Linked DNA regions of Caenorhabditis elegans. The protein of the gene in region 1 purifies or fractionates together with the protein of each later gene. This does not show direct contact. Each region holds a gene or a part of one and is shown on either strand. Other genes may lie near its edges.

Region 1 (5,931 bases):
ACAAAGTGTATGACAGAATCCTCTCTCTCTCGTCGTCATTGTCATAGAGAGACCGGTTTTTCACTCCCAAGGACCTGCGTCTCTTCAGGATTACCCACTCTCTCGTCGGTTCTTCGAGGCTTGCCCAACTTTTTGACAATCTTTCGGTAGAATGGTGATGATGATGATCATCATCGAAAAATAGTTTCAAAGTAAATTGTATAGAATTAGAAAAGTAAAAGAAATGAAGAAAGTGTTGAGAGATGCTTCAAAACATGTTTTTATGGGGTGCCGCTCAGGGATTTGGGTTTGTCGGAATTTGAAGTTGAGACGGGATTTTGTTTGAACAAATCATGGTGAAGATTTTCAATTTTTCTAAAGATTTTATATGTTTCAGTCCAAGTTCTGGGGGGGGGGACACTTTGAGATGAGCTTATAAAAAAAATATATATTCAAAATCTGAAATTTCAGAAAGAATACTTTTTTTGTTTTCTGATTGCACAATTTTTCAGCCTTTCGATTGCGATTGTTTAGCTGAAATTTATTTAATTTTCTTTATAAATATACTTTAACATTCCTTGAACATTAACAAAAATTATTAAAAACTTGAAAAAACTAAAAAAAAACCAACCTCCAACCTTAAGCTTACGTTATAATTAAGCCTAAGTAGAGCTTAAACCTAAGCCTAAGTCTAAGCCTTAGTCTAAGCCTAGTCCTAAGTCTTAGACTAGGCCTAAGCGTAAACCTGAGCCCATACTTAGCCTTAGCCTATGCCTAAACCTACACCTAAGCCTAAGACTAAGCATAGGCTTGATCTTAAGCCTAAGCCTAACCCTAAAATTCTAATCTTTTTCCAACTCTTCCCCTAACTTTCTTCCTTCCCTTCAAATGACTTTCATAAATTGTGCACAATAATTATGAAAACTACGTTTTTCGTGAATGATTCTTATCATAAATGTGTCTGCAATAATGATAATCCCCTCAACTTTGCCCCAAGATGAACTGTTTTTTGCTGACAATTTTGTAATTCCACGAAGAGCACTGACGTCAGTTGGAGAAAATTGCACACGAGGCTATAAAATCGAAAGTTGGTTTCAGAAGAAAAAAAACATACTACAGGCGGATGTTGTCGTCTGATAAGAGTTTAGCAATAAAAATTCCAAATTTCTGCAGAAAAAACAATTATAGTTTTTGAGGAAAACTTTCTAAATTTTCCAGCGTGTATATATTTCCGGTAAACGTTAAAAACAAAATAAAAACAAGTTGAATCATGGCCTTGATAAAGAAAGAGAGAGTTCTTGGTGCACATATCTCGGTTATTTTCAGTGCTATCAAAAATATGTCAACTACAAAACTATAGATTATAATATGACGCATAAGTTTGTAGTTAAAATTTTTTGATTAAATCAATGAGCACAGAGATATGAGCTCCCAAACTTACTGTCAGTTTTTTCTAACATGTTGGAAGCCGTAAGACGTCGGCCGCTATTACACGTTGTTGGAATTATTGTACTACAATTTTAAAGATTCTATTTTGTTTTACATGTCCTATAAAAATAAAAGCCCCCTTGAGCCTGTAAAATGCCAGCCGCTTTTACTCAGATTGGCAGATTGAAACATTGTAGAAGTTAGAATAAATAAATTAGCAATTGAAAATCCAAATTATCAATTAAAAACTAATTTTTAAAAAATTTAAAAATGTTTCTGAACCAATTTCTCGAAAAATATGAACTCCCGCAGGTTACAACTTTTGTTTGAAGAGAGGTACGTGAAGTGCATCCCACTTATCTTGCACTAAAACAATCCCCACTTTTCTCTTGGCTGCCTTCTCCCGGATCCGAACTTGATGATGTTATCAACTTATCAGTACAGTTTCAAAAGATAGAGATTCAGACGCGACGATGGGCACAATCGGCTTAAAACATCAGATGATAAGCTGAAAAAGTGATAAGGTTATAAAAATGCGGGACAGACTCCTCCTATTCTGTCACTATATAGTCCGTATTAGGAAAAGTACGGTTTCTTCTGATTTTTATCACAAGAAGGATGGTCATGAGCAGGACACTTGTACTTGTGGCGCTCCTCGGCTTCGCATATGTTTGGTAAGTAACCTTTAGAAGGCTTCTAAGCTTTCATGCCTGCCTACCGCCTATTAAAAAATTAAAATACAAAAAACCTAAAAACAACTGTGTAGTTTCTCATTTCAGCGAATCCGCTCTGATCACAAATCTCCCTGGAGCTCCAATCTCAAACTTCAAGCAATATTCGGGCTACTACAATGTGGGAACCAAGAAGAATCATATGCTCCACTACTGGTTCGTCGAGTCTCAAAGCAACCCATCAACTGATCCAGTTCTTCTCTGGCTTACCGGTGGACCAGGATGCTCCGGATTGTCAGCTCTTCTCACCGAGTGGGGACCATGGAATGTGAGTTTGAGGGGAGCGGAAAATTGCGCAAAAAGCTAACATTTTAGCTACAAAATATTGTGGATAAATTAACATGTAAGGTAAAAAAGAGGTTCCAAAAAATAGGTTCGTGTTATTTGAAAAATGTATAGCTACAATATTCTATAGTTCCTCTGAGTCTTCGTGCCCTGAAACCCAATTACTCCATTTTCCTATATTCTTGTGAAAATATGTTTTTTTTTATTTCTAACAATACCACTATCACTGATAATATTCCGTTGTTTTTACTTCTAGTTTTCATGTTTTTTTTTCTCGCCCACCTACCGATTTTCTAGGGACACTATATATGTCAACTTTGATGGCTCTTATCTCTACCATTTTCAATTTATCAAAAACCGCCAACTACTTATAATGTGCATCACATTGTGATCTACACTTTGTAGTTTACAAATGTTTGATAAATTTTAAAATAAGCGAGATACAAACTATTAAAAAAGTATATATTGTTACCATAAAAAATTGTGTTTAAAAAAATTGCCGTTAGAAATTTTGTTTTAAATCGTGAATTTTTGAAAATGTACGACATCGAAATATTTTAAGAAAAGTTATTTCTCAAGTGACATCTAGAAACATGTCACTTTTGCTGAAATTTAAGCAAACATAAAAGGTAGAGAAGCACCTACAAAGAAGATTTATTAACAGTTTTGTTTTTCCAGGTCAACACCGACGGAGCCACCCTTCGCACCAATCCATACTCCTGGAACAAGAATGCCTCAATTCTCACCCTTGAAGCTCCAGCCGGAGTTGGATACTCTTACGCCACAGACAACAATATTGCAACCGGAGACGACCAGACAGCCAGTGAGAATTGGGAAGCCCTCGTCGCTTTCTTCAATGAGTTCCCACAATACAAGGGAAACGATTTCTATGTGACTGGAGAGTCGTACGGTGGAATCTATGTTCCAACACTTGTTCAGACTATTTTGGATCGTCAATCACAATCTCATATCAATATTAAGGGACTCGCAATCGGAAACGGATGTGTTTCAGCTAACGAGGGAGTTGACTCACTTGTCAACTTCTTGTACCATCACGGAGTTGTTGATCAGGTTGGGGCAGTTTTGAATATTTGAAAATAGGAAGCCTAAGCCTAATTCTAAGCCTGAACCTAAGCCTCATTTTAAGCTCAAACCTAAACATACGCCTAAATCTATTTTCAATAAAAAAACACTTCCAGGCCAAATGGGAGCACATGAAGACCTCGTGCTGCCACAACGACACTGATGCCTGCCCATGGCACTCGTTCAGCGAGTTCTCGGCCTGCGGAGAATTCGTTGAAGCTACCCAACAGACCGCCTGGAACGGAGGTCTCAACCCATACAACATGTACGCCGACTGCATCTCCACCAGCGCAAGCTTCCGTTTCGGAATGGAGTATGAGAGAAGATTCAATAAGAAGTACACACCAGAGGTTCTTGGAACCGTTCCATGTCTTGATGAGAGCCCAGTAACCAATTATTTGAACCGTCAGGATGTGCGTAAGGCACTCGGAATTCCATCTTCTCTTCCAGCTTGGTCGATTTGCAGGTAAGATTCTAAAATTTTGCATTGTGTAAAAACCTATATATCTCAAAATCTACAAGTGTTAAAAAAAGGTTGTCAACTAACAAATTAAAGCTCTTAAAGTTTTGCACATTTTGCCGACAACTTTTTTGTATGTCCAATAGCAAATAAGATATACCTTTTCCAAATATTTTACTCAAAATCGGTGGGCGAATTTGCCTACATGCTCCACAGTAAAATGATATTATTTCCAGTAACGCCATCTCGTACGGTTACAAGAGACAATACGGAGACATGACTTCCCGTGTTCTGAACGCCGTCAACAACAACAATCTGAAAATGATGCTCTACAACGGAGACGTCGATTTGGCCTGTAATGCTCTTATGGGACAGAGATTCACTGACAAGCTCGGTCTTACGGTAGGCTATTTTATGTTTAAAAGTTTAGAGGCGCAGATGTTTTTTAGTTTTTCGTGATTTTCAATACTACGGTACCTAGTTTTGACACGATCGATTTTTTAAATGAAAAAGGAGTGTGCGCCTTTAAGGGGTACTGTAGTTTTTTCTCAATTTAGTCTCATTTTTAGTAAAAAGTTCGAAAAACGGGAATTAAAAATTTCAAATATTTCAAAATGCATGAAATTGTGAGAAAAAATCATGAAACAGCAAAGCAAATTTCAAAATTTCGAGCTACAGTACTCCTGAAAGGCGCAAAATCTTTTACATTCAAAAAAAAATCAATCGCTTCGAGACCGGGCACCGTATTTGTTTGGGCATAAACCACAGTTTTTGCTTTTTTCAATAAAAAGATATCTATATATTATCCAGACCCAAAGTTTTTCCAAACAATACGGCGCCGGGTCTCGACACGATAAATTTTTGTTGAATGAGCGAAGCTGTGCGCCTTTAAAGAGTACTGTAGTTTCAAACTTCCGTTGCTGCGGATTTTTCATCGAAAATTATTTTTTTGAAAATATTACTCTTTAAAGGCGCACATCGTTTTGCATTCATAAAAATTGTCGTGTCGAGACACCGGGTACCGTATTTTTAAACAATAAGCTCTCAATCGCTGCGAGACCCAAGATTTTTAATGTTTTGTAAAAATTCCATAATTTAATTTCCAGCTCTCCAAGAAGAAGACCCACTTCACTGTGAAGGGTCAAATCGGTGGATACGTGACACAGTACAAGGGATCCCAGGTGACATTCGCCACTGTTCGCGGAGCCGGACACATGGTACCAACCGACAAGCCAGCCGTCGCCGAGCACATCATCCAATCGTTCCTGTTCAACAAGGCCTTCTAATCGTTAGGAGAACAATGATAATAATTTTGAAATAAATGTCTGAAAAACTGAGCTCACAAGAGGTTATAAGGTTCCAGCAATTTATAAGAATTTGGAAATTGAAACAATAAAAAAGAATAAAAAGGGAAATAAGATTTTTTGGGTGTTTTGGGGAAAAGAAGAGATGGGGGGATGGGGGATGTTCATTTTTCAAGAATTGTGATGGATTAAACAGATGTGGGGGGTTGAGGGGGAGAAGAGAGGAAAAGAAGTGGCAGCTATCCGAATAAATGAGAACTTTTTTATCTTTAATTTTGCGATCGGAAGAACTTACAAAATCACGGTGGTAGGAGAATTAAAAGAAATTAGAAAAAAAAACTTAGGGGGTTTTGTGTGTGTGAAAAAGTTGAAAACGGTCTGGAAAGGGATCGATGGGATACATAGAAGACAAAAAAAAGAGGTGAAGATTTGTGGGGGGAGTCAATTAAATTAGTGTAGAAGACGAGAAATGAGAGAAGATGATACCAGAAATAGAGAAAAAAAGAAGCTTAAATAATTATATATCGGGAGGAAATAATAATTAGAATGGATCTCATATTGTGCTTTTCTTGATGTGGGGGTTTTAGGATTAGTGATGCGCGTGGCGTTCGCTTTTCGATTTCAAAATTGTACTCCGCGCGCGTGGCTCCATCACTGTATA
Region 2 (4,691 bases), on another chromosome or scaffold:
AGTTTCTTGAGCAAATAATTATTTCTTTGTATTCAGAGAGGACAAATCTGCCTTGAACAAGCTCGTCGAGACCGTCAACAACAACTTCAGCGAGCGTCACGAGGAGATCCGCAAGCACTGGGGAGGAGGTGTCATGTCCGCCAAGTCTGATGCCAAGAAGCTCAAGATCGAGCGCGCTCGTGCCCGTGATCTTGGAAAGCTCTAAATTGTTTTTGTTGATAATAAAAACTTGTTATTCAAAGCTTGTATCTTTTTCAATAATTGGTAGTCTTCGTGGTACTCATTTGGATCGGTCTTGTTGGATATTGTTGAGAACAGTTTTCCCGAGAAGTGTCTCCCTAGTTCGTCGTTGTCTTGGAGCTTGCTGGTTGTCTGCGATATGGTTTCACTGAACAATTCTAGTTGGGTTCAATTCCGGGTGTCACAGCCACAACTGTCCAGAAACTTGCAGAGTGCGATAAGAGTTCGGCTATTTTGTGTATCTTGCCTTTACAGTGCTCTTTAAATTACATAAGGGTTCATTAAAATACGTAACGAAATATTTAAGGGGAAATCACAACACTGATGAAATTGGGGAAAACTAGTAAGCACGACAAATACATCAATCAATACAATTTAGATCTTTGCCTCGATAAGCTTCTCCAGAGTTCTGGCGTCTTTGGCAAAGTTGCGGATTCCTTCGGCGAGCTTCTCGGTGGCCATGGCGTCCTCGTTGAGAGCCCATCTGAACGCCTTCTCGTCAATGCTCACTTTCGGCAGGTCGAGTGTCTTGGCTGGAAAATAATTAAAAATTGCAATTTTTAATTGATTAAATCTCCCGCTCACCATGAGAAGTGGAGAGCACAACTGGAGCAAGTTCCGTCTCCGCAGCAAGTTGCTTCAGAAGAGCCGGAGAAATAGTAAGAAGATCACATCCAACAAGTCCCTTGATCTCTTCAGTATTACGGAACGAGGCAGCCATCACTTGTGTCTTATAGTCGTATTTCTTGTAATAATTAAAGATTCGAGTAACACTGACAACTCCTGGATCGTCTTTTCGAGTGTAGGCCTTCTGATCGGTATTCTTCACGAACCAATCCATGATTCTTCCGACGAATGGCGAGATTAGGGTGACTCCTGACTCGGCACACGCGACTGCTTGCTCAAAGTTGAAGAGCAGTGTCATGTTGCAGTGGATTCCGTGCTTAGATTCGAGGAATCTGAAAATTTAATTTTTTGCTGATTTTGAACTATTTCCGTTATAATTAATGCCTTAAACTCTTTTGAAAAATGTCAATTTGGGTCCAATTGAGTAGATTTTCAGTAGAAAACTAATAGAAACGAGACTTTGTATGTTTCGAAAAGGTATGTCCGTAGATTTTAGGTGATTTACAAGAAAAATCGAAGCATTTCTAGTTTTTAATTTAAAATGTGTTAATTTTTAACAATTTCATCTTGTATAATTCGTTTTTTAATTGATTTTTTCGAAACTAGTAGTGTTTTAAACCAAGCAAATCATCAAAAATGGGTAAAATTTCATCAAGTTTGATTTTTAAAAAAAAGTTTTTTAACTGAAAAGTTTTCCTAAAATCTCCAATGCCGTACTTAGCAGCCCGAATTCCTTCCCAAGTTGAAGCAAGTTTGATAAGAATCCGATCCTTCGAGATTCCTTCCTTCTCGTATTGAGCAATAAGTCCAAGAGCCCGATCAATCGATGCTTGAGTATCAAATGAAAGACGAGCATCAACTTCTGTGGAAACTCTTCCTGGAATAGTTTTCAGGATTTCTTTTCCAAAAACTACAAAAAGTCGATCCATAGCCGCTTGGAGCACTTCTTGATGTCCACTGGCGTGCTCTTTTGCGTAGGCAACTGATTGATCGATTAATGCTGCGTATTGCTCCATTTTTGAGGCGGCCAGGATGAGCGATGGGTTGGTAGTTGCATCTGTTGGCTGGAATTCCTTGATCGCTGAAAAAAATCGATTTTTTGAGAACAATTTTTGAAAAAAGTACTTTTTTCAACTGGAAAATTCGAGTTTTATTTTTCGATTTTTGACTTTTTACACAAAATCGAGGAAAAAAACAAAGGTGTGCGCCTTTAAGACTTACAGTAACCCATTTCCTGATTTTTTAAATTAATTTTTCACGCTTTTCATCTAAATTCTTGAGAGAAAACGTTGAAAAATGAAAAAAAAAACGAAATTGAAGGAACGTCTGGGTACTGTACTTTTGAAAGGCGCAAACACATTTTTTTCAAAATAAATATTTTTCACCAGTATTTACAAAAATTTAGAAAAAAGAGAATTCATCGAATTATCCAAAAAAAGTTTTTCACAGCTTTTTTTGGAATTTTTGAAAAATTCTAATTTTTAAATGGCACATTCCAGAAATTTACAATACTTCCATAAAATTTAATAGTATTTATTTTTAAAATGTTTTAACGAATTTTTTGGAAACTTCTTGAAAATATGTATTTTTTTCTCTAAAAAAATTAATTTAAAAAGTTCAAAAAGTCAGATTTCTATCTGAAAATCGAGAAATTTACTGTTTTTTACATTATAACAGTGGTCTTCCTAGAAAAATCGAATTTTCAGATAATTTAATTTTTTTTCAAAACTGCCAAAAAAAATCAATTATTCACCACATTTTCGAACTTTTTCTTAATGTTCAAAATTTTTACCATTAAAATCTCCAGTATCCGCAACAACGACTGATGCTCCTTTGAGTTGTTCCAAAACCGACATGATTTCCCTAGAAAAAGTCAAAAAAAAATCAATAATCGTGAAAATTACGGGAAAAATCGCGTGAGAGAGATCGAATGGAAAGTGCAGCCCATTGATAGCATCAAAGATAACAAAAACCGTATCAAAAAAATTTCAAATTTTTAATAGATATAATGATAATGATAATTCGACTAACCAATGTGAAAACAATGAACAATGAACAAAAAATAACAAAAAAGGGGGAAAATTTCAAAAAAAAAGTAACAACTCATAAAAAAATGACGATAAAAGGAGTAGGGAAGTGAGAAAAACAGTTTTCGAAAAAAAGTAACAAAAATGATGATAAAAAGGTATAAAGTAAAGTAGTAACAAAAAAACAAGAATATGACTAAATGTGTGTAGTTTGCAGTCTGTAGTTTGTAGCCTCTCAACTATGATGTGTCGTCGTCATTTCGAACCATTGACGAATCGATTCGGCAATCACCGATGGTAGTTGTTGAACTGATTTGACGAGAGCGTAGAATGGGAACGGGAACAGGGCGAGGTATGGCGTGAGTACCTGCAGGAAAAATTGGAAATTGTCAGCAGTTTTATGGGGGCAAATGGCAAGAGAATCGGGGGGTTTTCGAGAAAAAAAAGAAAGTAAATATTGTTCTTTGTAGTCAAATATGATCAAATTTCACACATTTTTTTGGGAATTTTAACACGAAAAAAAGGAAAAATCTTCAAAAATTGGAAAATTTATTGAGTTTTGAAATTTATTTGCGAAATTCCTTTCGAATATTTTGACCTAGTTTCAATTTTTTGTTTCATTTTTTAAATATTATTTTAAACACAATTTCTCACATTTTCAGACAGTTTTCCGCAAAAAATTATTTAAAAATGTGAAATTATCGATTTTTAGGTCAAAATTGAAGCGAAAATCGTCAAAATGCCAAAAAAGTCTACTGAAATTTAAATTTCAGACCTAAAAATATACAAATAATCGGCCATAGAAGACTGAAATAACGAAAAAAAAACTTTTGTAATTTTAAAAGCAAATTTTTGCTGAAAATCCTATAATTACCGTAACCTCGGCGTTTGTTCAATATCGAGAATGGAAAATTACCAGTTTTTAAAAAATTAAAATTAAAAAAAACGTTTTTTGTAGTCAAATATGATCAAATTTCACACATTTTTTGGGTATTTTAAATGAGCGGCAATTCTAGAAAATGGTCTGTTGCACCATGTTGTTCCAACATTTTTACAACTTGAAATTAGTTTAAAAATATGAAAAATCACTCGATTTATTTGAAAATAACATTAATTTCAGCTGAAGCCTTCGAGAAAATGCCCAGAAATGGCTTGAAAGTTGACTAATTTCGGCAATTGTCAACTTTCTGGCCTTTTTTGAGCAATTTCTCAAATTTTCAGTCGAATAAATGTCATTTTCAGATAAATCAACTAATTTTCTATACTTTGACACTAATTTTGGAGGAAAATGTTGAAAATGCATGGTGCTACGTCACCTCGAAAACAATTTTTTTTTCAGAGTGTAACTTCAAATAAAATGGAAAATGTATATTTTTTTAATTGGATTTTTCTTTAAAAAATACCCATAATAATCTAAAACTGGGATATTTTTGAAAAAAAACATATTTCCAGTCAAAAATAGCAGATTTCAACTGAAATCGTCTGATTTTGAAATTTTAAACATGCCAATTACAAGTTTTGGGTGAAAATGTTGATTTTTTAAACCAAAATTGGCAAATTTTCACTAAATTGCCCCGATTTCTAGCTAAAAAAATCCTGGAATGTTGAAAATGTGATTTTTTGAATGAAAATTTGCGAAATTCTATCTGAATCAATTTTTAGAAAATTTTCGGGTTAAAAAAATCGATTTTTCAATTTTATTCGATTTATTAGTTTTTTAAAAATTAAATCGTTCAAAATAACATCTGAAAAATTTTTTTCCTAAACGATTTTTGAAATTTTTGGACATTTTTACTT
Region 3 (2,887 bases), on another chromosome or scaffold:
AAGTGATGAACGAAAGACTGGTGTCAGATTGTGAACAAGACCGCCTCGTGGCATATGAAAAAGATGGAGATAGTTGGAAAGAAACGAAGTAGGAAAAAACATTTGATGTTATATATTCATTTAGTATATTCATTTCAGAACGATTTTCCAAGGTTCCAACTTCTTGCGTGGCCTTCAAGCTGTTATTCAGAAGAAGTTGTACCGAGAGCTTTCCGATTTCGAAAACCATTTGGACAATCCCGAGTTCGACTTCTATAACACAAATCTGAGCAACAAACTCGTGCAAGTGGCGGAATTCAGAGCTTAAAAGCTGAAATTATTATCCTAATTCGTGTTTTCATAACTTATTGCAGTCATCTGAATATATTATATGTTTAATCCCCTTCCGTTTTCGGGTTGAATAAAAGATTTGATGACAGCTGAGTCGTGTAGGATTGGTTGCCATGAAAACGCATTAGAGAATGCGCAGGAATAGATGTCAACAAAAACGATGTTTTAGGTGGGAAGCAATACTTTATCAACATTCAGCAGAGATACGAAAACGGTGAAAACACCGGGAGACATAAGCAATCAGTTTATTCGTAGACCCATGAGTTGATGAATGGGCTGGCGTAGTCGTTGATCTCCTCCTGCTTGAACCAGTGAGCAATCTCGCGGTTGGCAGAGTCAACGGCATCGGATCCGTGGCAGATATTGCGTCCGGTTTGGATGCAGAAGTCTCCGCGGATGGTTCCTGGGGCGGAAGCGAGTGGGTTGGTAGCTCCGAGCATGGAACGTCCTTGCTTGACGACGTCAAGTCCTTGCCAGACCATGGCGACGACTGGTCCAGAGCTCATGTACTCGATGAGGGATGGGAAGAATGGTTTGTCCTTGAGGTCTTGGTAGTGAACCTAAAAATAATAATTTAACTGGTTGGGCCTAAAATTTTGTAATTTCGTGAAAACGTACCTCAAGATGGGCCTTGGAGGCGGTCATCTGCTTGAGAGCAACAAGCTTGTATCCGCGCTCTTCAAAACGAGCGATGATCTTTCCGACGAGACCACTGAAATTTAAAAAATTAGGATTTTGAAAATCCTAAAATCCATTGAGGATGCTAGAATAAGTTTCTTCAAAGATAACTAACCGGTGGACTCCATCAGGCTTGATGGCGATGAAGGTTCTCTCAGTGTTGCTCATTTTCGGACAATCCAACTTGGAACAGGTGTCAACAGCACAGGCGACAGCGACGAACGCAAGTGAAAAGAATAACCCGCCGGCGCCCATTCAATCAACTCCGACACAAATGAAACGAGTGTAACCGTACTTCAGCACGTGGCGAGACCCGACCTCGCAGCATTCTTGGCTTTGTGCCAGAATTGCAATGGAGCGCCTTTACTGACCACTGTTTTCGACCAATTTTTTTGGACACCAATTGAACCTTTTGCGAGAATTATGTTCTGTCAAACTGGTTTTCTTCATATGAAATTTCATCGGGATTATTGAACAAAAATCGGAATTTAACGTCACCTGTAACGTCAAAACACATTGAGAAGTGAATCGCTGCATTTGATATCTGAAAAAACGCGTGTGACATAAATAGTTTATTACACTTTGTCTCAAGTTCTATGACTTATGTCTGCTTTTCGTGTCTCCATGCAACAAGCACAAACGCTCTGCATATTCCCATTAAACTATTGTGCCTCGTTACGCGTCGAACTTTATTTCATGCTTGATGACCTGGCTCCGCAAATTTCTTTTTTCGTTTCAGACACTACTTCACAAAACTATTTGCAGTACAAGGAAACCGGTTCTCCCATATTCGCCACCTTCGACGCCCTATGTTTAGAATCGACTAAATGTAAGGTTGTCTATACTCTTTCTTTTCTGCCATCGACTACCATTTAACTGTTTGCCTACCAAACCGTGAGCTTTGTTTGCAGAACAAAGTGAGAGCAAAACTGTATCGAAACGGGGAAAGTCTCTCGGAAAGAGAGCCTCTGTCTTATCATTTATCACCTGCTGATTCGCGAACGAAGCCGATGGAGAGCGAAGTGTGAGTTTTGTAGATATTTTAAATTACAGAAATTGTTTCAATGATAAATTCTAATATAATTTATCTCATTCCAGTGTCCTTCCCACGAATGGGGTGATGAAAAAATGGACAAACTACGTGAATGGATGGCAAGATCGATACTTTGAAATCACAGAGGGAAATCTTGTTTATTATCTGTCAAAAGCCGAAAAATCCCACGGATGCAGAGGAAGCATATTTCTCAAAAGTGCAATAATAGCTGTGAGCTTTTATTGATTTCTCAGAAAGTTCTTGTATATTTAAAAATTTAGGCCCACGAATTTGATGAAAACGAATTCTCAATATCTATGGGCGAAAACGTTGTCTGGTATTTGAAAGCAGAGAATTCACAGTCAAAACTTCTATGGATGCGATCAGTTGTCCGGGAAACAGTGAGTGTTTTCTGAATCTGAATTTGGTATTTTTAAAACATAATTTTTTCAAAAAATTACTTCCCCAGCGATTCTCTCGGAGTAATTACGAGATAAAAAGTTGTATATTCTTCGTTTAAATATGCTCCGATCATAGTTCAAACACCTCTCTTATGTTCCTTTTTACATCAAAAACACCATTGTTGATCTTTACCTGATTTTGTCATCCCGTGTAAATATATAGTACGGACGGTGGCACACAAAAGTCAATTGAAAGTTCGGGAATAGTACGAGGCTATAAAATATAAAAAATCGTTCACTTCGAAATTCTACTTTTAGAATCAGAGAAATCAAGTTAAAACTTCAATGGGAAAATCAATAATTTTCAGGTACAAAACGATTCGGATTATAGCTCGACTAGCACTAAAAGTCATTCCCGTAATCCATCGGTTTCCTCAGTTCTTGC

The links. The genes of interacting proteins can lie anywhere in the genome.
Region 2: the proteins of ctsa-1.2 (region 1) and tald-1 fractionate together in Caenorhabditis elegans (co-fractionation; one large-scale study listed by BioGRID). This does not show direct contact.
Region 3: the proteins of ctsa-1.2 (region 1) and ndk-1 fractionate together in Caenorhabditis elegans (co-fractionation; one large-scale study listed by BioGRID). This does not show direct contact.

Annotation. Positions count from the first base shown.
Region 1 is NC_003280.10:11,737,496-11,743,426, forward strand, and holds ctsa-1.2 (Serine carboxypeptidase ctsa-1.2), read left to right. Parts: upstream 1-1,862; 5' UTR 1,863-2,025; coding exon 2,026-2,081; intron 2,082-2,186; coding exon 2,187-2,406; intron 2,407-3,101; coding exon 3,102-3,494; intron 3,495-3,622; coding exon 3,623-3,972; intron 3,973-4,202; coding exon 4,203-4,368; intron 4,369-5,072; coding exon 5,073-5,252; 3' UTR 5,253-5,381; downstream 5,382-5,931.
Region 2 is NC_003282.8:4,384,690-4,389,380, reverse strand, and holds tald-1 (Transaldolase), read right to left. Parts: upstream 2,731-4,691; 5' UTR 2,724-2,730; coding exon 2,660-2,723; intron 1,949-2,659; coding exon 1,585-1,948; intron 1,200-1,584; coding exon 826-1,199; intron 774-825; coding exon 616-773; 3' UTR 501-615; downstream 1-500. Other genes in the region: rpl-7A (Large ribosomal subunit protein eL8), read left to right, coding at 37-205; F55F10.1 (Midasin), read right to left, coding at 3,130-3,261.
Region 3 is NC_003279.8:10,552,619-10,555,505, forward strand, and holds ndk-1 (Nucleoside diphosphate kinase), read right to left. Parts: upstream 1,296-2,887; 5' UTR 1,177-1,295; coding exon 1,124-1,176; intron 1,043-1,123; coding exon 949-1,042; intron 891-948; coding exon 576-890; 3' UTR 501-575; downstream 1-500. Other genes in the region: F25H2.4 (MPN domain-containing protein), read left to right, coding at 1-88, 139-307; cert-1 (Ceramide transfer protein), read left to right, coding at 2,019-2,032, 2,107-2,272, 2,323-2,442, 2,811-2,887.